3 linked regions of the Stegostoma tigrinum genome follow. The main gene of each other region encodes a partner of the protein of the gene in region 3 in a complex. Links are inferred from orthologs where the notes say so. Each region holds a gene or a part of one and is shown on either strand. Other genes may lie near its edges. The genes, in order: drc1, efcab2 and ccdc135.

Region 1 (7,817 bases), on a different chromosome or scaffold from region 3:
CCCCCAGAGATGCTGCCAGACCTCTTTGCCATAAGGTTCTTATCTTGGCAAGAAGCCTTATGTGTAGTACTTTGTTGAACTCCTTTTGGAAATCCAAATAATTTACATCCACTGGCTCCCCTGCATCCTTCCTGCTTGTTATCTCCACAAAGAATTATCATAAATTTGTCAGGCATCATTTCCCATTCATGAAGACATGCTGTCTCTGCGTGACTATGTTACATACTTATTTGAATAATAATTAATTACTTAATAATATAAATTATCAGGGCAGCAACCAGACAAATACTTGAATCCTATCATGGTAATAAATGCTTGTTTTTAGAATAAACTTATTTTCTGCTGAACTGAACAGCAATAGATTGGTACAGGAATCAAAGGTTATGGGGAAAGGCAGGAAATTGGGCAAGAAGTGTCCAATTAGCCATGATTCTACTGAATAGCAGAGTGGGCTCGAGGGGTCAAATAGCCTACTCCTTCTCCTATTTCTTATGTCTTACGATTATAATCTTAAATGTGCCAAAACAGAATTTATGCTGAGGGCAATGGAGCTGAAAGTGTTTCAGTTATTTAAGGGTTACATTTTCAGTCATATTGCAAAAGGAAATGGGACGCATGAACTCAGGCTAAAAGCACAGCAGCTACGCTATCAGCAGTCAGAACAGACATTAAACAAAATAATAACAATGTCTGTAAAAACTGTGGGTAATAGCAAATAATAATAGGCATCAAGAGGGTTGGGGAGGGCATCAAGAGGGTTGGAGGTAGCTGGAACTCACCATTTTAAAGTATGGTAGAGATGGAAACAGGAGAGACATTTAAGAACTGTTTCGATGAACCAAATGTGAGAAAATGAAATTAGAATAGATGGAGGTTTGTTAACTGCTGTGGACACGTCAGACTGGAAGGCCAATTTCTGTGCTGTAAGAACTCTGTGACTCAATTAGCTGGATAAAGGAATGTGAAAATTGTGCTCTTTATACTGAAATGCTTTCTATAAATACTGAATTAATATTTATGACCGAATGTAATAAGCTTTACAGTTCATTATGTTAAAGCTGGTCCTCTGTACGTAGGTGTGAAGTGAACAATTAGAACATACAACATTACAGCACAGTACAGGCCCTTCGGCCTTCGATGTTGTGCTGACCTGTCATACCAATCTGAAGCCCATCTAACCTACACTATTCCATGCATATCCATATGCTTGTCCAATGACGATTTAAATGTACCTAAAGTTGGTGAATCTACTACTGTTGCAGGCAAAGCGTTCCATTCCCTTACTACTCTCTGAGTAAAGAAACTACCTCTGACATCTGTCCTATATCTTTCACCCCTCAATTTAAAGCTATGCCCCCTCGTGCTCGCCATCACCATCCTAGGAAAAAGGCTCTCCCTATCCAACCTATCTAACCCTCTGATTATTTTATATGTTTCAATTAAGTCACCTCTCAACCTTCTTCTCTCTAACAAAAACAGCCTCAAGTCCCTTAGCCTTTCCTCGTAAGACCTTCCCTCCATACCAGGCACCATCCTAGTAAATCTCCTAAACACCCTTTCCAAAGCTTCCACATCCTTGTTATAATGCGGTGACCAGAACTGTAACTTGATTTACAGCATCCTCTCATAAGAGGAAGTGGAAGGTCCAACAGAATTAGTGATTGAATGCAGAGATACATTCATTGATTAAGTTCATCTTCCATATTTTGTTATAGACCAACAGGTAATAATCGTAGACCTAACCAATTTGGTTCACAGCATCAGAAGGACACACAAGATATGGCAATGCGATGATATGTGCCTTAAGAGGGATTTGCTCGGTCCTGTTTCTCTTGGGAAGGGTGTTGTAAACCTGGCTGCTGCATCGAAATGTGAGTAAATAGCTTTGTTTTTTTTTGCAAAAAAGAAGCTTGAATGTGTGAAGTCAGGCTCACATAGACCCAACGTTTTAAGGTTGGTTGGCTCGGCGAGCTGGTTTGTTCTCCTGCACATGTTTCGTTACCATGCTTGGTAACATCGTCAATGCAGCCTCTGATGAAGTGTCAGTGTGTTTTCCCGCCTGGCGTTTAAACTCAGGGGTCCGTTGCAAGGGATTGCCTCACTTCCAGGTTTTCTCCGTAGTGGAATGTATTTGGGGCCGAGTTCAATGTGTTTATTAATAGCCTGCTTTGTGGAGTGCCATGCTTCCAAGAATTCTCATGCTTGTCTCTGTCTAGCCTGTCCCAGGATCCTGGTGTTTTCCCAGTCGAATTGGTGGTTCTCCTTGTCCACGTGGATTGAGATGAGTGAGTATTGTTTGTGTCTTTTTGTAGCCAGTTGGTGTTCATGTCCTCTTGTTGTTAGTTTCTCCCTGTTTGTCCAACGTAGTGTTTCTCACAGTCTCTGCAGGGGATCTTGTAGATGACATTGGTCCTGTCCATGGCGGGGAGTGGGTCTTTAGTTTGGGTGAGCCCTTGTCGTAGGGTTGATGTGGGTTTGTGTACCACTCTGATGCCCAGCAGTCGTGGAAGTCTTGTGGTGAGTTTTGCTGATGTGTTCCTGACGTAGGGCAGTGTGATGAGTGTGTCCGGCATGTAGAATCTTTCTGATGCTGTTCCTGTAGGTATCTCCTGACCCAGTTCTTTGGATATCCATTATCCTTAAACACTTGGAAGAGGTATTCCTCCTACCCCCACACTCCCGCCCACACACACACACACCCACCCATCCACCTCCCTGCCCCACACACACCCGAACACATCCACCCCACATTCCCCTCCCCACACACACGCCCACCCATTCACCCAAACACCTCCACCCCCCACACACACCCAAGTACATCCACCCCACATCGCCGCCCCCCCCTCACCGTCTCTTCTCCTCCAGCCGCTGGGCAATCCGAATGCGGCGGGCGGCGATTCTCTCCTCGGCGACATCGGAGTTGACGTTGACGGCCGATTCATTGGCTTGAACGATAAGTGTGTCCGACATGGTAAGCAGCTGGTTTCCCGCCGGGGCTGCGGAAAACGGTAAGGACCAGAGCGGGAGCGGCCGGTACCCGCTGGGCCTGCGGGAGACGGTAAGGAGCGGGAGCGGCCGGTTCCCCGCTGGGCCTGCGGGAGACGGTTGATGCCCGTCGCTAGGAGACGGCGGTCGCCAGGAGACCGTGACGTCACCAAGTTGCCTGGCCGGAGAGATAGAGCAACACAATCCGGCCACAATGATTTAGGCTTGAAGTAAGAGAAAGGGGGGTTAATGAGCGAGTCCTTTAGAGAGCTGACAGAAAGGCTTTAAGGTAACGTACACCTCCACTTCCCCACAACATTCTAAAATTGTTTAAAAACTTTGTATGGCTCTAGTTTATTGAGAGATAGTGGGAACTGCAGATTCTGATAAGAAAAGGTGTAGCAGGAAGGCTGACGTTTCAGGCCTAGAGCCGCTCAGGGAATGAAAGGACCATTAGCAATACTAAGACAAAAATGGGTGACTTTAAACAGAATAGCAATTGTTAGTTGCTCAGTTCAAGAGTACAGTCTAATAGGGGAAATTAATTGTATTAATGATTTGAGTCCAGTGCAGGGGAGAGGTTGGAAGCGTTGTAGGCAGGGAGAAATAAGGAGGGGAAGGTAAAGGAGATGATGTCTCAATTTTCTTTCTTCAAAGCAGCATAAAATGAATTCTGAAAGGGTAGGGGAGGAGAAATGGATGCTTGTAACGACACCTATACAAAAAAAAGGTTAGGCTTTGGAGAGCAAGAACTGGAGCTGCTGGAGGCAGACATAGCACAGCATAGTGCTAGGGGGAAAATAGAAGAAGTCAGGTAGAATAAGAGGAAAACTGACGTATTAAGCAGTGCTACGGGTACCACATTTTTAGCATATGAACACAAACTGCTGAGGATAGTCTGTACTTTTCCGCTATTTTCTTTGATTAGTATTTTGAAAATTTCAAATCATTACTACACCAAAGGAAGATAGTTAATAAAAGGAACCCTACCAAAACTAGAGTAAAAAGGTAATCAGGAGGAAGTTATACCACTGTTAGAGTCGTAACTGAGCACGTGATAGGAAGGTAATAAAATGAGGCTGGATCAACACAGCAGTCTCCAGCATCTGCAGTTCCCATTATCACGTGATAGGAAGGCTTTGGTTAGTGATAGTCTTCTCAGCTCTAGGACATCTCCCACGAACTCCAGTAGAGAAGAGAAAAGCGTCCTCAGCCTCGCCATCATTAGCTGCTTCACGAGGATGGGAGGGAGAGTCACCAAAAAAAAACAAAAACTTAGGGATGCTTATTAACTAGTGTTCAGCCCCATTCATGACACCTCCAGCAGATTTAGGCCATACCCAAAAGGCAACAAGATTTGGGCAATAGCCATACTACCACTGGACCATCTCCAATAACCACCAGCCCTTGACATTCAATGGCATTACTATGTCCAAAATCTCCCATTAGTCAATAGTAATCCTCAGGCTACTGTTAGCCAGTTGCTACGTAAAACAGGGGTTACAAGAACAGGTCAGATGCTAGGATTACTGTGATAAATCACCTTCTGACTCATCACATTCTGTCCACCATCTACAAAAAAGGCAGAAGTCAGGGGAGATGGAACACTCCTGACTTGACTAGTGTAGTCCCTCAACCATTGATACTCAGTAGCAATATGTTGTCTCAAAAAGATGTACTGTAGATGTTCAAAAGATTCTAAGACAACACCTTCCAAATCTATGACCACCACCATGTAGGAGATGTTTAACAGCCCCTGCCCAGGCTTCCACCATGAAAACAAAAGTGGCATTAATGGGAATTAGAACTACAGATCAAGAGCTCCTGTTAATTAGTATGGCCAGTTGCAAAAAAAAGATGCGATGCACCAGGAACAGAGCACAACATCCACAGTACAAAATTCAAACTAATAGAAAATTACTACTGAATAGTTCAGTAAAATCTGTTACAGTTGGGGGTATATAGAAGTTATGCATGTAGTTTTATTTAAATCAAGTTCAGGATACCCCTCCCCCTCCCCACGATGACAAATCTTAACATGCTTTACAATCAAGAAATTTTTAAAAAGGGTGTGAAAAGGGTTTTTTTTTCAATAAATCATGTAATTTTGAGTACTTCAGTTATCAGATTGTATGAGACAATATAAATCAGACCACTTTTTCCTTCAGTTTTATTAAATATTCAATGTTTATCCTTACAATAAATAACTTGGTAGCATTTTACAAACCAAAAACCACCACTGGACCTCATCCAACAGCAGTCATACATTTTTATTCCGATGGTCACAGCAGAAGAGGGATTCTACATTAGAGATGTACTTAGTGCACTACTTCAGGTGAAATAATGACCAGTAGATATGACAATGTAGCATTCTCAATAAATTCAGTTAAAAATGAGACTGGTGAGTGATATGTCAGTAATCTGACCAACTGAATATAAAAAAAAACTTAGACACAAGAAAGCTGTCAAATTTGCACACAGCATACCAGATGAATTACTTCAGGTACATTTTTAAACAGCTTTCTGGGAGCAATAATATGCATACAACAGGATTGTGAACTTTGTACTTAATCATGTAGATCATTACTTCATCTGAAGAAGACAGCACCTAAAAAAGTGTTTTCTTTTAATAACTTAAAACATAGACCAAAAGAGAACAATTATCAAGAAAGTGTACCTTACAGAGGTTGCAATGCAAGTGAATCCTATTTTACTGAGTTTTGAACAAGTACATTAGCATTTTGATTATGAATCAGCTCATTTGGGGATTACAAAATCATGCAATGTGTCACAATAAAGCCTTGTACTTCTTGACAGTAAGCTAATTAAATTTTACAAGTACTAAGCTGCCGCTTCATGCAGTTCTGTGAATCAGCATACACTTGGTTTTCAGCACCAAATTTGCTCAGAGTGCGTACGCAGACCTGCATACAGAGTTTAGAATGAAGTGCATGTGCACAGCTTACAATATTTCTTTACAAAAATAACAAAACCATAATGATTGGGGGGGGGGGGGGTGTGGAAAGGCAGGCAAGGGCTTTTTAAATGATCTTTATAGAATTAGTACCATTAGGTTACTGATTCCACTAATCAGTCATCCCATTGTTATTCTAATAAAAAAGGTAAAAATGAGGTAGACTGGGTGTTTCAAGTAAAGGCAGCAAGGAATTTCCCAACTTGCTCTTCAAAAATGTTTCCTCATTAACATTAATATCAAGTCAAGGCATATTAGATATTTAGTCATCATGAAACAAGATTAAATTGTGGTCAGTTGTAGTGAAATATTTCTGTACAATAAATCAATTAGTGTAATCAAACAAAACCTTAATTTGAATACTATGATCATTTAATTATTCAGCTGCAGTTTTAAATGGTCCTATTACAAACAAACAATATAATTAAGTCACAAGGTAATGTTTTGCCAGTTTGCCACAAGATCATAACCAGAACACTACTGGAATGTAGGCACTTTCAAATTCTGCCCCTTTAGAACAGAGGTTCATAACTTTTTTTCACAAATGTATCTACAAAAAGCCAATTAAAAGCAAATTAAATTCAATTGTGCAAAGGATGACAGAGTGCACTGACAATACCAATTAAGACAAACAATTAAATATTACATGTCAAAAAAACTTGTTGCACCCAAGAATAAACTTCTGGTTTCAAAAAACAGTCATCCCACAAAAAGAAAATAAGGTAGGTCTTCCTCCGAATGAAGGAACCTCTAATTAGAAAGTGAAGCAGTTATTCAGTTTCCTCCCTTGTGCCTTTCATCACATTCAATGACACTTGCTTGCTGATTTGCAAATTATGATCAACGAAAAAGGAAGTATTTGTGGCGATCCTGTTGTACAAAGCAAAATATTTTCCTCACCCAAAACATTCAGACAAATTTGTTTTAGTTATGAAAATCATTAAGTTACTTCTGGCAACTCTCATGTACTTTAGAGTTGGCATCTACTATCACAAGTTGTGTAATACTGATGAGATATTTTAACTTTTATTTAAAATTAGGAAGGTGACCTAAATAAGGGTATTCTCAAATATTATGTATGCAAAAATTCAGCTAATCAGAGATCAGAACTCAGACAAGCAAAGAAAACAAAGGCTTTGGCATACCCATGCCCTGCACTGTCACAGAGGGATGCAAATGATGAGGTGGTTGAGAAGTTTGGACCAAATCCCTCCCAATTTTTAGCAATTCAAAATAAATGTTAGTAAGTCTTAATTAAAATGAGATTTAAAACATAAGAGGAGATCAAAACATGCATGAAAATTTGTTACTGATGATGTTCATATGCCACACTAAAATTAATTTAAAAAGTGAAGTGTGTGTATGATAAATCACAGACGTCTTGAAATACCCAAGATTGGCAATAAACAATTTGAAATCAATTCTATCAGAGTGTCTTCGAGGCTGTTTTAGATGATGAAAAAAGTTGCATTTAAATCAATTCAATAACCAGCTAACAAGTTCATTTCACTTTTATTGTTAAATCTCAGCTAACAGGTAGTGATCAAAATTTAAGACATTCACAAGTTTTAAATCAAATTATGCAGTTCTGTCAATGTTCTCCAAAAATAAGCTTCACCTAAAGGCATCTACAAACTATAGTGGTATTTTAGGCTTACAGGAAAGAAAATTCATTGTTTTAACATTTAAGATTATTACTTCTTTCTCAAAGTGAAAGCACAATCTCATCCAATAGTACTCAAATTGGTTAGTGACAAGGAAAATTCACTAGATTTTTAAAAAATCTAGACCAACCCCGAACTGCTTGATGCACTTTTAACTGTCATCCAAGTGTAATGAGATGGCCCATCTTTTTCCA
Region 2 (7,590 bases), on a different chromosome or scaffold from region 3:
CAAATGAATTACAAATAGCATCAGAATAATGATGGTGTGGATGCTTCTTCCTTCGATTTTATTTTATATCATCTGTGACACAATTTTGTTGATAGCATTAAAAGACAACATGTTCTGGTCTTTGAAATAATTCCAAACTCTTCATCAACACCATTGAATGGGATAATAGTGATTTTCTTTTTGGCAAGATTATAAATCCCCACAGAAGTGACATGATAAATTGCTTTTTATTGCTTTGGGAATAGCATAGCTCTCTGTCCTTAAGGTTCTGGTCTCTGATTGTTGTTCAAGAAAGAAATTGAAAATGAATTGCATACTACCAGCAAAAGAGGGAATAAAATGGCAAAATATAAAAAGCGAATTTTAATATTTCATGTACTCTTTTCTTAATAGCAGTGTAGAAATAGTTTTTGGTAGTACAGAACCTGAACATTGCCTAAAAAGGACACATTATTTTCAGGTTTTTCATTTTGCACTCCTCAGGACAATTCACAAGAATATTGGAAAATAAGGGAAAACATTTATACTGAATGATGAGAGTGCTGACTGGTTGGCAAGTGGATTCTTGTTAGCAAAGACATTGCCATGGAGAACTTACCAGTTAGATTGTGACTGACAATTAAATGCCAAGACATGTTTAAATTTTAAATCAGGCAATATTACTCTGATTGGTCAAGGCATTTGCCTGAGAAATGAACCACAGAATGGATGTCGCCAGCATTCTCTCTAATTTTTTTTCTGACTGCATGAGCCTCCAAGCCGAATATCTGAAAGGTTTTATCAACAGGTGAAGCAAGCTTTTGAAAGTGGTATCACAAATGCCGTTCACCACTAACAGGATTCTGCCATTAAGCTAAAAAGATGTTTTCCCTGTTACACAAATGAATAATGTGGTAAATGAATTTCAGTGTCAGTGTGGTGCTAGCTATGTGGGCCATGTGTCCTCAAAGCTGGAAAATTATATCAAACAGCAAACCACTTTGGCTGTTGCAACAAATAAGACTGTAATCAACCAATCAACCAGCCCACACTTGCAAAATTCAAAACATGGTGCCAAACATTACATGTGACTCTGCAAATGGACAATATTTGCTACATGATCCTGAATGTGCAAAGAATTATACTGTCAAACATTGTAGGATCATTAGAGATAGTAGGAATTGCAGATGCTGGAGAATCTGAGATAACAAGGTGTAGAGCTGGATGAACACAGCAGGCCAAGCAGCATCAGGGGGGCTCCTCTGACGCTGATTGGCCTGCAGTGTTCATCCAGCTCTACACCTTGTTATTGTAGGGTTATTAGTTGGTTTGTGGCATATGTATGCAAACTGGAAGCTAGAGGGTGCTGGTCTTTGATGCTGGAATATGGACATACACTGTGCGCATTTCAACTGAAGAAAATAGATGATGGCCATTCTCTGGTTCATTTCTCAGGAATATGCGTTGATGAATCAGAGCTAATTTGCCTGGTTTAAAATGTAAACAAATCTTGGTAGTTAACTGTCAGTCACCATTGAACTGGCACATTCTCCATGGCAATTCATTCATTGGGAGACCATTTGCTAATCAATCAACAGTCCCCTCTCATACAGTACAAATATAGTTTCTCCATTACATTGGTATTCTTATGGATGTCACTGGTTGGTGCTAGATAAAACATTTCACAAAAGTGTCCTTCTTGGCTGTACTCAACGTGAAAATTGGGCGTATTTAAATTAAAAGTTAAATTTCATTTACAAATATGATTTTAAAAAATCAGTAAAATGGTGTTTTTAAAAGTACAGCTGCTGGTAAAACAATCAATTTCCTATAAGAATAACCTCCTAGTTAAAAATTCTACAAATCTGACATGAATTATGGCAAATAATATTCACTAAATTGTTCCGAAGAAGGATCACTACTTTAACTCTGCTTTCTCTCCACGGGTGCTGCCAGATCTGTGAGTCTCTCCAGCATTCTGTATGTTCATTGCACTAAACTGTGGCTAGTCAAGCTGGATTTTAAATAAACTCATTTGTCGCCATTCATGCATTTTTGAACAAATATAACGTTTCTGTTTATAATTCGGAAAAGATGATTTTTTTCAATGTGTCGCTCAAGTGGCAGGTGACTCGCTGATATTGATTTCAAAACACCGTGGATTTTAACGCCTCTAGCTTTTTTTTAAAAAAAGTAAGCTGAGGCTCCGCTAGTTTTAATGAAGACGTGATCTTTTTGACAGAGAGCAAAACAAATCACTAGGGGGCTACAGCTCTCCCTGTCTACAAATGATGGGTTAAAATTCTTTCCACATCATCGTCCTCTCAGAACAAAGACCAGAGGTCTCCAGCTGAGCTCCATCTTGAATCTGGGCGGAAAAGATTAAGCTGGAATTAAGCTCCGGGCCTGAAGAGTCCCTTGTTGTTGATGGGTTTTCTATGTGTGTGTCTTATGGAGGTTGCACCATCACCATCGCCATCGCCGACCTTTATCCAAGCTGCTGCTTACCTGCCGCTTCTTTGTCGTCGGCCATATTGTTTCGGATGGTTGCTAAGGAGCGCAGTTGTCAAGGCGGTTGTCAATCGAAGGGAAAGGATGGGGAGACAATGTTGGAGAAATCCCGGTCTCCCTTCTTCTTTTTGCAGCTTTGACGATTTTATATCAAAGCGCTGTTTAACAGATTCGTTGTCTGTAAAATCTCTTTCCTTTAAAAATCTGTTTGAAATCCCTTGAACTCATCGAGGTCTACTGCACAGATAAGGCCCTCTTGACCCTCGGTCCATCCACTCAAAAACAAGCCCCTACCTGTTCTAATTCTATTTTCCCAGCTCTTGGCCCTTAGCCTCGTGTGCCTGGGCACTGCAATTGCACATTTAAATTCTTCAGTGATGCAAAGATTTCTCTCTACCACCTTTACAGGTAATGAATTCCAGATTTTCAACACTCATGGTTCAATAAGGTTTTCCTCACATCCTCTAAACTTCCTGCCCCTATCTTAAATCTATGCTCCCTGGTTATTGATCCCGCCATCAAATCTACAATCTCTTATCTTTATGTCTGCTTCTTAATTGCTGTCTCTCTTGCAATTGTTTGTGAGTGCCATGGAAGGTTTCACTATGATGAAGGCAAGTTGCGTATAAATCCGAGTTGTTGATCTTGTTTTTAATCTTCTATCTTAATGCAGGGAAGGAGGGATATAAACATACATGTGTATTGAAACCCAGACCTAGTGTAGTATTTCTGTCATGATTTTAAAACAAAATGTATTTTTATCCTTCAAATTAAACAATTGTATAACGACATATCTGTACGATATCTATCAGATATATCTGTATATCTGTAACAACATACAGCATCTTTAATAACTCATCACAAGATTTTCACAGGGGCACTCTGAAACAACATAAAAAGATATTAGGGCAAGTGACCAAATTTTTCTCGGTCAAGAAGAGGTAGAAAGAAGGAGTGCCTTACCCTTAAAGAAGAAAAAAGAGCTGAAGAGACAAAGAGGGAGGTAATTCCAGAGCTTAAGTTCTTGTTAATCAAATTCTGAACCACAAATGGTGGAATGGTTAATGTCTGTGATTTTGAAATCCAGCATTAAAGGTGGGTCAAGGTTGCAGAAGGTAGTGAGGTTGAAAAAGATTACAGATATAGGAACAAATCTATGAAGGGATTTGAAACAAGAATAAATTTTAAAGTCAAGAACTTGCTTAACAGTAAACCAGTATAGATCAGTGAGTGCAAGGTTGATGTGATAACAGGATTTGGTGTGAGCTAAGATACAGGAAGCAGAGTTTTGGATGACCTCAAGTTTAGAGGGTAGTCTGTGCAAGAGAGCAGGTAGGAAAGAATTATTCAAATATAGAGATGAGAAAGGAATGGATAAGAGTTTCAACGGCAGGTGAACTCCTGAGTGATGAGTGAAAGTAAATGGTCTAAGTAATGATATCACAGTATAGTTGGAAGCTCATCGTGGGTTCTAATATAACACCAATGTTGCAAACAGTCTCATTCAGTCTCTAGAGAGGGGAATTGGGATCTTTGGCTAGGGAGTGAGGTTAGTTAGCTCATCCAGTACTAACGTAATCAAGAATTTAAAGACATAGTGGGATTGGAAGAGTTTCTGGTGAGGACAGCTGGATGTCATCAATACATCTGGAAATGAATGTGTTTTCAGGTAGCGTTGCAAACGGTATCTTGAGTAGGAAAGTTTTAAGAGAGGCCTGAGGATAGATTATTGCAGGTCACCAGAGGTAATGGTTTGAGAGTGGAATTAAAAGCTGATTTGACTTGCTGGCTGCAACTATTTAGATAAATTTGGAACCCCGTGGGTGAAGTCCCACCTGTTCACATGACAGCAGAGTCATCGGAAGAGGACAGTTAAATCAACTTGCATGGAAGTCTACAGAGAGATTAAAAAAGAAGATAGAGCATAGTTTAACATTGTCACAGTCATACAGCCCTTCACTTATAACTTTGATGAGATAACAAGGTGTAGAACACAGTAGCGCAAGCAGTATTAGAGGAGCAGAAAAGCTGATGTTTTGGGTCTGGACTCTTCTTCAGACCTTCCATCCTCAGACCTTCTATTTCTGAAGAAGGGTCCAGACCCGAAACATCAGCTTTCCTGCTCCTCTGATGCTGCTTTGTCCTGCTGTGTTCATCCAGCTCTACACCTTGCTATCTCAGATTCTCCAGCATCGGCAGTTCCTACTATCTCTAACTTTGATGAGAGTTTTTTTTGATATGGTGTGACAGAAATCTGACAAAGGAATTCAATCATAGCGATCTAGGAAAGATGGATCTTAATTTAGGAGATGGCAACAGTTCCTCAGACAGCAGAGAGGATTTAAAGGAGATGGGGACAGCATCTGAGGAGGCAAAATTGTTCATAATATTATCTTACATAGGAGCCAGGAGAGAAGCTGGGTGGTCAGCAGTTTAGTGGGAATAGGGTTGAGAAAGCAGCATGCAGTTCTACAGGACATCATGGGCTCAGAGAGGGCATGAGGAAAGATATGAGACAAATATGGGACTAGAATAAGGTCAGCTTTACAACATTTGAGAGCATCCAGCTGTGCCCCTGTAGTTTATTTTCTATAATTTCTAAACTGTTCAAATTACTTCAACTTTACCCAGCCTTTGAATTCACATGAATTGCTTACTGTCCTTTTTAAGATAACAGCTCCTCCTTAACACGTCGAGATCCTATTATCTTTTCACCATGGATTTACAAGAAGAACTGCCCAGGTCCCAGGCAGAAGAGGATCTTGTGAAAATGGCAATTAGGAACTTCATTCAAATGCATAAGGAGGTAAAGGAGCAGCAGGCAGGTGATGTGAGGCAATGGCCCTTGTAGCCCAGACGCTGAAGAGCTGCAGCTATGCTATGGAGGTCTTTGCTACCTTAAGATCGTCTGCCTGCCTCTATACATAGGATGATAGTTGCCATGAAGAGCAAGCTGCAACACTCACGGTATGCTGGATAGCATATTGGACTTGCTGTGTATCAACCAAACCATTGATCCTCAGGACTGAAGGCAAAGTCAAAGGGATCGGGGGAACCTTGACCTTAATCCAGGTGCCCCTTCCTCCAGGAGGCACCCTGCTGGAGGAGAAACCACACACGAACCCCTCAGAAGTCTTCAATGAGTACAGCCCAGAAATGCTGGGTCTTCCAGCCCAACCCCGCCTGTGCCTCTCCAACCTGTGAAAGTTTGAGTCAAGGAAGATGCATTTGCCTCTAGCAAGGACACAGTCAGCTTGTTTGGGCCCTCTAGATACAAATGCCCCCAGTGTCACCTGACCAAACCTCCAAGGCCAAATGGCTGCAGTGTAGAGCAGGCTCCCTCTACCCAGTTGTGGCACCTGACACTGCATCGAGATGTAACAGGAAGGAAAGACATGTTGATGGCCTGGGTGACATAACCCTTAATATTAAGCCTCATATTTTTCATAGATGTTAAGATTTTTGCACTAAATCTGTATGTTTCAGTCTCTGGTCTACCCATGTAGCAAAATGTCCACCCTTGTCAGAAGTTTGATGACTAACAAGACAAGCTGCCTGGTTCTGTAACTATGCTAAGAGTCATGGCAAGGCAAGAATGTTGTGATGATACATGTGAGTGTTAAATGAGTGAATATTATGAAAGCAAGTGAACAACTCTGAGATGCAGAGATAATGGGAACTGCAGATGCTGGAGAATTCCAAGATAATAAAATGTGAGGCTGGATGAACACAGCAGGCCAAGCAGCATCTCAGGAGCACAAAAGCTGATGTTTCGGGCCTAGACCCTTCATCAGAGAGGGGGATGGGGAGAGGGAACTGGAATAAATAGGGAGAGAGGGGGAGGCGGACCGAAGATGGAGAGTAAAGAAGATAGGTGGAGAGAGTATAGGTGGGGAGGTAGGGAGGGGATAGGTCAGTCCAGGGAAGACGGACAGGTCAAGGAGGTGGGATGAGGTTAGTAGGTAGCTGGGGGTGCGGCTTGGGGTGGGAGGAAGGGATGGGTGAGAGGAAGAACCGGTTAGGGAGGCAGAGACAGGTTAGACTGGTTTTGGGATGCAGTGGGTGGGGGGGAAGAGCTGGGCTGGTTGTGTGGTGCAGTGGGGGGAGGGGACGAACTAGGCTGGTTTAGGGATGCAGTAGGGGAAGGGGAGATTTTGAAACTGGTGAAGTCCACATTGATACCACATGGCTGCAGGGTTCCCAGGCGGAATATGAGTTGCTGTTCCTGCAACCTTCGGGTGGCATCATTGTGGCACTGCAGGAGGCCCATGATGGACATGTCATCTAGAGAATGGGAGGGGGAGTGGAAATGGTTTGCGACTGGGAGGTGCAGTTGTTTGTTGCGAACTGAGCGGAGGTGTTCTGCAAAGCAGTCCCCAAGCCTCCGCTTGGTTTCCCCAATGTAGAGGAAGCCGCACCGGGTACAGTGGATGCAGTATACCACATTGGCAGATGTGCAGGTGAACCTCTGCTTAATGTGGAATGTCATCTTGGGGCCTGGGATAGGAGTGAGGGAGGAGGTGTGGGGACAAGTGTAGCATTTCCTGCGGTTGCAGGGGAAGGTGCCGGGTGTGGTGGGGTTGGAGGGCAGTGTGGAGCGAACAAGGGAGTCACGGAGAGAGTGGTCTCTCCGGAAAGCAGACAGGGGAGGGGATGGAAAAATGTCTTGGGTGGTGGGGTCGGATTGTAAATGGCGGAAGTGTTGGAGGATGATGCGTTGTATCCGGAGGTTGGTAGGGTGGTGTGTGAGAACGAGGGGGATCCTCTTAGGGCGGTTGTGGCGGGGGCGGGGTGTGAGGGATGTGTTGCGGGAAATACGGGAGACGCGGTCAAGGGCGTTCTTGATCACTGTGGGGGGAAAGTTGCGGTCCTTAAAGAACTTGGACATCTAGGATGTGCGGGAGTGGAATGTCTTATCGTGGGAGCAGATGCGGCGGAGGCGGAGGAATTGGGAATAGGGGATGGAATTTTTGTGGGAGGAGGTGTATTCTAGGTAGCTGTGGGAGTCGGTGGGCTTGAAATGGACATCAGTTACAGACTAAGGGGGTGGCCATGGGCACCCGCATGGGCCCCAGCTATGCCTGCCTCTTTGTAGGTTAC
Region 3 (7,298 bases):
TTGTAAAGATTTCCACAGGCTCACTAGTGAAGGAATTTCTCCTAATCTCATTCCTAAATGGCCAATCCCATATCCTTAGACTGTGTCCCTGGTTTTGGACGACCTGATAATCAGGAACATCCCTCCTGCACTTATCCTGCCCAGTCCTGTTAGTATTTTATAGGTTTTTATGAGATTCTATGTGATCTTTAATTTTCTACTTTCTACCTCACTGGTCTCTTGACTGGAGATTTTACATTCGGGTTTTACAATCAGCTAGGACCGCTTCAAGAATCCAGGAATTTTTAGGAAACTTTCAACAAATGCATCCATTATCTCTGAAGCTGCTTCGTTTTAGACCCTCTGACACAGGCGATCAAATCCAGTGAACCTATAAGACTTCAGTCCCATTTGATTTCGTCATAATTTTTCTCTGTTGATTATGATTTTTAAAAGTTTCTCCCCCCATGGGTCTCCTGCCTGTCTGTTTGTCTCAGGATGTGATTTATGACTTCAAGGCCATTATGCACATGGTCGGTCTGGAGCTGTCCTGCACGATTATTTGCTCCAGACACGGCGGGTAAGGGAAAAATGATGGCCCAAGGGAAAAATGAGACCACTCTTTGCAGACAGGGACCTGAAGGGCCTGGTTGACTGGGTTAACAGAAGAAGACTGTCCTCTTCCCCCAAGGACCAGAGGAGGCCATGACACCAGCTTGGTAGATGTTGGCCATTAATGAGGTCAGTACCTGGGAATTGATTCCAGCAAGTCTGGGAGAATCCTTACACTCCAGCAGATGGTAAATATTGAATGGTTAAAGGGTGCCACCTGGGTCAGTGTGGCCTCCCAGGTCAGGAGAAACACCCAGCATAAGTTACCTCAAAGAGTGGTTCTGATTCAAGTCAGCCAGCGGGTCCCAGTACAGTAAGACAAGGGCATCACCTAATCTGAGTCCAGGGGCTTGATCACAGTCAGCTGCCTGCTTGGGGCAGACATAGTCAAGGGTCCATTTCACTGAAGTCTGGGGAGAAAGCCACATTCAGTCCTGCAGATCCCATAGAAATAGTAAGGAGTTTCACAATTGGTTAATGGGGGGGGGGGGGGGGGTAGGGGGGTGGTGGGCTGCACACAGATCATTAAAGGGTCCGGTCAGTCATCAGTTGGGCTGCCCTTTAAAGTCAATCAGCTGGTAGACCATGATCAGTACTGAGGATTAACAGAATGAAAGTCAACAGAGCACGGTGGTTTTATCAGGGAAGACTGTGCTAGGGAAGTTGAGGAACTCAATGCTGGGGATCATAGGAGGAAAGTGACATGGAGGTTCGGCTGCACCCTTTGATTACCAGGCTGAGCCTAAGACTCACTGTGCCAAGTATGACCTGTATTGAGTCCAATATTCAACTGACCCCTCGATGCGAAGTGCAAACAGAATATTGGTGCAACCACATCCAGAGTAGAGTCAGAGGTTTTACTCTGTCTCCACACATGGGTTCCATTTGTGAATAACCTGAGGCCTTTCAAGGTATAACTGCACTGATGGGGCAATTAGTGCAGGTTGATGTTATCTATGATCATAATGTCATGCACGTGAAATGCATCCTGTGCAACAGTATGGGGTACAAGTGCTGGTCACAAGCAATCTTGACCATGTCATTTGTTGTTGTAGATTGAAGATAGTCATCTTTGTGAAGCAGAAGTAATCACAGGTGACCTTCAGCACAGAATACTGCTAAATGGCAAAGGCTGCACAAGGGCATGAAACTGATTCTCTATCACCTTGACCCGCAGGTATTCGTTGATGTGATCTTATATGCAATGGCGCCTTTCTTAGGAGAAGTGGGGTTGGGAGGACAACTTCTCAATAGTCATGCAGCACGTACAATCTCCTGTATTCTGTTTATGTCATTACTGGAGGTGCATTACTGAAATAAGCCAAAGGGTCATGGAGAGGCATTCCTTGGCCTTCTTTGTTGGAGTGCTCCATGACTCACTGTATGGAGGACTGTGCCAAATGGTCATTTGTGACGGATATGAAGGCTGATTGCTCTTATCATGAAAAGCCTATTCTGTTTCTTATGTTCCTGGCATAGATGCTTTGAAATGTGATTGATGAATCCAGTCACACCAGGATTATTGCCACTACTGTTGCACTATAACAAAGGTGAGGAGTAAGGTTGAGAAGGTGGGATTTTCATGTTAATTTCATCCGGTGTGAGACCTGAAGGAGTGCATGGTATCCTGTCCTGATGGTTTTCAAGGTGATAGTTGCATTGAACTTTTATGCGAATGACTCCTTTCAAGGAACCACTGAGGACCTGCCAGAAATCTCTCAATCCTTGACTCACAAATGCAATTTGTCACCTATGCAACTTCTGTCAGATCACACCACTTCCTCTCGTTTCCCTGTGATGAGGTCAGTGGCCCAGGCACTAAGCTGTGGCAATATCAGCGGCTTCCTCTTGGTGCAGGGCATTTCAGAGATTTGAGCAGATAAGCTAATTTGACACTCCAGGCTCAGTCAAGAGCAAGAGGTGCTGTTCTCGGGATGAGATGCTAAACCGAAGCCTTCTCCAGAGGGTGCAAAAGACCGCCTGGTATCATTCTCCCCCTGGAAGAAGAGCCAGATTGTTTTCTAGGGGTCCCGCTGGGAGCTGGTGCCACCCTCAAACCCCATAAATTAAGGTGAGTAATTATCAATTCAAAAATAATCCTTTTCAAAAATGCAGGTGCACATAGCTTCTCTTATCTCTCTCATTTATTCCTGAAACAGCGGCAAAAATGAACCACTTCCTCCCTATTTGTAGAAACTTGTTCTTTATATTGTCAAGATCAAACTCTGTGCAACTACACACTCTCAGCACTTTTAGACTGAGCTACCTTCCTAGGTTACAAGTAAAAAGAACAACTAGTTTGTTCATGCACCAAATTAAAAATTGTGTGAAGAAGTACACAGAATAAATACATAATAAATTGAAATAATGTTAATGATGATCCTTTACCTTTGTGCTTCTCAAACAGTCTAAACTGTCGCTTTTTCTGAGGCTTTTCCTTGAAGGTGCAAGTGCCTCAGGCCTGTGATGTTGATTGGAAACCAGTTTAATTAGCAACCAGTGCTTAGCAACCAGTCCCTAGCAACAACCATGGCAACAGGCAGGACACTCTGGGCATTGTAGTCTTTTCCGGTCAAAACTGAGACCACTATCAAGACAGCAGGCCAGAGATTACAACAATAGCAACCACATAGATTCATATAACACCTTTAATATGAAACATCACAAAACACATCAGGGTAGGGGGGACTGTGAGATAAATCATGACAACGAGAACCACATAATATATCAAGTTAGGAGACCAAAGGCTTTGTCAACAAGGTAGGTTTTAATGAATGAGTGGATGGATTTAGGATGGATATTCCAGAGCTCGGGGCCAAGTTAACTGCAGGAATAATTGATTAAAATTATGGCTTCGCAAGAGGTCTGAAATAAAGAGGTGCGGATATCTTGCTGTGGGTTGTGTGGACAGAGCAGATTATGGAGACAAGGAACAGCAAGGGTATGATAAATTTGAAAACATGGAAGTGAAATTTAAAGTCAAGATGTGACTTGAGCGGGTGCTACTGTAGGTCACTAAATGCAAGGGATGAGGGGGAAGGGGTTTTGATATGGGAATAGGGGAAATAGAATTTGGATGAGCTCAAGTTTACAAATGGTCGAGACTAGCCAGGAAAAAGGACACGTGGTAACAGATTTTAAAATTGTTTTCATAAATTGCTGGTGGTAGCTTTTGGGTGACAGACAGTGCATGTTTGGTGGCTTCCTGCTCAGGCCAATTAGGCCTCACAGATTGTTCACTTTAAGAGATGATCTTGACCACAACTTGATTTTTCCTACGGTGAGATGACAGAGGTGGGGTGTTGATGCCGCCCTCAAAACCCTACCAATGCAAAAATAATTATTTTCAACAACATATGTGCACGTAGCTTCCCTTATCTTTATCATTTTATCTCCCAAGACACATTGGGGCACAAACTTCCCTAGCGCTGAACAACAGGGGTGTTCCTCAAACTCGGAAAAATCATGAAAAATTGATAGGGAGGAGCTTCTGGATATCAAAAGCAAAGAAAGTCCCAATTTCCAAAGAAGTGTTGGCTAGCAGGATAAGATTACTGAGACCAACAAGATGAGAGGTTAGATTAATAAATCTAAGGAGCAACTCGTCAGATTTTTAATTAGTACTTGATTGAAGGATTATGGAAAGTGAACAGGAAAGTGGAGTTGAGGGATAGTTGAGATCAGGCATGATTGTACTGAATGGCAATGCAAGTCTGAGGAGCTGAGTTTACTACTTCTGCTCCTGGAAACTCCTGCTCCTAGATTTTTTTCACACCAGTATGCAGAGAGGTCTTTCATTGTTATTTCATTTTGCTTAATGTATATGACAATTTTCACTCTCCCATCTGCCAGACAGACAAAGTCAATTCACATAGCAGTTAACTGTGAAAGGCTTAGAGGGGATAGAATTCTTAAAATGTGTCTGGCAGATTACTTAAGCTAGCATTTTGCAAGTCTGATTCAGAAGGATGGCGATGGATTTACTTTGAAGGAACGAAGCTGAGCAAGTGGAAGGTATGTCAATGATGAAGCATTTTGGTGATAGTAACCATAATTCCAGGTAATTACAAATAAAGACAAAGATGAACTGGAACTAAAGGTTCTGAAATGGGGAAGGCTGATTTTAATAAGACAGGATCTGGCCAAAGTGAACTGAGAGCAGCTACTTGCAAGAAAATAGCGGGAGACATTTAAAATGGTAAACATGAAAGCACAAGGCTAACATATTCCCATGAGGTGAAGGGTGGAAACTACAAGCCCAGAGTAACCTGATGTGTAGAGTTGGATGAGGGGAGACAAACAAGAAGGTTATGGCAGATACCAAAGGCTGAAAACAATGTGTGACCTGGAAGAGTATTGAGAGGGAGTTACTGAAAGAATAATAGAACGAGGAAGGAGTATGAGAAGGCACTGGCGGGTAGCATTAAGGAAATCCAAAGGTGTTTTTTTGAGTATTTTAGGGGGAAGAAACTAACAAGAGAAAGAGTAGGGCCAATTAGGCACCAAAGTGGCAATCTACATGTGGAGCCGGAAGACATAACTGAGGATTTAGAAGATTACTTTGAATCTCGATTCACTATAGAGAATGACGAGGTAAGCATAGAAATCAGGGAGGGCGACAGTGATATGTGAACAAATTGACACTGAGAAAGAGGTATTAGCAGTTTTTGTGGTCTTGAAAGTAGATAAATCCCCAAGCACAGATGAAATGAATATCAGGTTGCCATGGGACACAAAGGAGGACATTACAATGTGCCCTGACATTAATTTTCGAATCTTCTCTGGCCACAGCAGAGATTCCAGAGTACTGGAGGACTGTTAATGTAATACCATTATTCAAGAAGGGTAGTAGGGATAAACAAGCTACAGGCCAGAGTCTAAGATCAGTGGTGGGAAACTATTGGAAAAGTTTCTGAGGAACAGAAATAATCTCTACTTGGGGAGATAAGGATTAATCAAGGCTCATGAGCATGGCTTTGTCAGGGGAGATCATATTTGACTGCATTTTTTTGAGGAGGTTACTAAGTGTTGGATGAAGGTACAGCTGTTGATGTTGTCTACATGGACTGCAGGTGGGCCCTTGATAAGTTCTTGCATGGCAGACTGGTAAAGAAATTTAAAAGCAAACATCCTACAAGGCAATTTCACAAATTGGATCCAAAATTTGCTACATGGCAGGAAGTAGAAAATGATGTTGAAGAGTGTTTTTGTAACTGGTAGCCTGTGTCCAATGACATACCACCGGGTTTGGTGCTGGATCCCTCGCTGTTTGTAGTGTACGTTAATGATCTAGACATGAATGCAGGTGGTTAATCAGTAAGTTTGCAGATAACACAAAAACTAGTGGTAGGATAAATAGCAAGGAGGAAAGCATTTAACAGGACAGATGGGGAGATCAGTGGCAAATCAAATTTAATCCTCCAAAGTGAAAAATGATGCATTTTGGGAGGACTACCTGGTAAGGAAGTACACAAAGAATAGTAGTATCCTAGGAAGTACAAAGTATCAGAGCATCCTTTGTGTGCATAAAAATAGATCCTTAAAGGAAGTAGGAAAAAAAATAAGATGGTTAAGAAGACATAAGAGATAATTACCTTTATTTGCAAAAGCATTGAATACAAGGGCAAGGAGTTTATTACGGAGATATATAAAACATTAGTTAGGCCACAGCTGGTGTACTATGTGCAGTTCTGGTTGCCATACTATAGGATGAATGTGGCTACACTTGAGAGGGTGCAGAGGAGATTCACCAGGATGTCACCTGGGCTGGACTAAATCAGCTAAGAAGAGAGATTAGATAGTCTGAGGTTGTTTTCCTTGAAGCAGAAAAAGCTGAGTGGGGACTTGACTGAAGTATACAAAGTTCTAGGGTACATAGATAAGGTGGACAGGAAGAAATCTTTCTCCTCAGTACAGGTATCAATAACCAAAGGGCACAATTTTGAGGTCAGGGCAGGAGGTTCAGATGGGACTTGAAGAAGGTTTCATTGTACATTGAGTAACTGACTGGCTGAACAAACTATTGTCTTGAGTGAGTGACTGAAAGCAAGGCTGATGCCTTTGTGCTGGAATGTTACATGTCATAACATCATGTAACTGTTTTGAAGATACATGCCTGTCTGATTTTCAATCTATTCCCAGAGACTTCTGCTTTCTCCCATTTCTGGTCTCTTGGGGATCCTTGTTTATAATAACTCATGTTTGCCAGCTGTGCCTTCAACTATCAGTAGTGGGTTCTATTTCTTCCCTGCAGTGCTCCATTTTTCCCATTGTCTTTAAAACACTTATTAAAATCTATCTCATTGAGCAAGATTTTGGTAATTTTTCCTACTATCTCCTTAGTGGCTCATTGTCGAATTTTGTTTGATTACATTTGTGTGAAGTGCTTTGGGATTGTTTAATGATAGTTGTGGTGCTAATGTAAATGTAAGCTGTTGTTTCAGCATCTCCCCAAATTCGACAGGTCGAAGGAGAATTGGTCAAGGTCCTCAGACTTCAGTCATGGACCTCCCCAATAGTCACAGTTTCCTTTTGAAGTCACTTTGCATCACTGTTTTTGTTTAGTTTGGCAGGCTTTAGTTCTGAAAACTGACTGTGACATTTAAGAGAAAAGGCACAAAGTATTATGTGATGCTATTGACTTCTTGAAAGGTTGACTGTAATTCCTAAACATAAATCCCAAGAAAGGGCATGTGATTCTAGTCTGG

The links.
Region 1: ccdc135 (region 3) and drc1 share a complex: the UniProt entries of both Homo sapiens proteins name them as parts of the nexin-dynein regulatory complex. The link is inferred for Stegostoma tigrinum from reciprocal best matches to the Homo sapiens genes DRC7 and DRC1.
Region 2: ccdc135 (region 3) and efcab2 share a complex: the UniProt entries of both Homo sapiens proteins name them as parts of the nexin-dynein regulatory complex. The link is inferred for Stegostoma tigrinum from reciprocal best matches to the Homo sapiens genes DRC7 and DRC8.

The regions. Positions count from the first base shown.
Region 1 is NC_081357.1:129,135,512-129,143,328, forward strand, and holds the start of drc1 (dynein regulatory complex protein 1), read right to left. Parts: upstream 3,105-7,817; 5' UTR 2,971-3,104; coding exon 2,849-2,970; intron 1-2,848. UniProt on the Homo sapiens protein: Component of the nexin-dynein regulatory complex (N-DRC) a key regulator of ciliary/flagellar motility which maintains the alignment and integrity of the distal axoneme and regulates microtubule sliding in motile axonemes.
Region 2 is NC_081362.1:86,343,273-86,350,862, forward strand, and holds the start of efcab2 (dynein regulatory complex protein 8), read right to left. Parts: upstream 3,109-7,590; 5' UTR 2,513-3,108; coding exon 2,488-2,512; intron 1-2,487. UniProt on the Homo sapiens protein: Component of the nexin-dynein regulatory complex (N-DRC), a key regulator of ciliary/flagellar motility which maintains the alignment and integrity of the distal axoneme and regulates microtubule sliding in motile axonemes.
Region 3 is NC_081363.1:81,622,907-81,630,204, reverse strand, and holds the start of ccdc135 (dynein regulatory complex subunit 7), read right to left. Parts: upstream 3,066-7,298; 5' UTR 2,980-3,065; intron 1-2,979. UniProt on the Homo sapiens protein: Component of the nexin-dynein regulatory complex (N-DRC) a key regulator of ciliary/flagellar motility which maintains the alignment and integrity of the distal axoneme and regulates microtubule sliding in motile axonemes.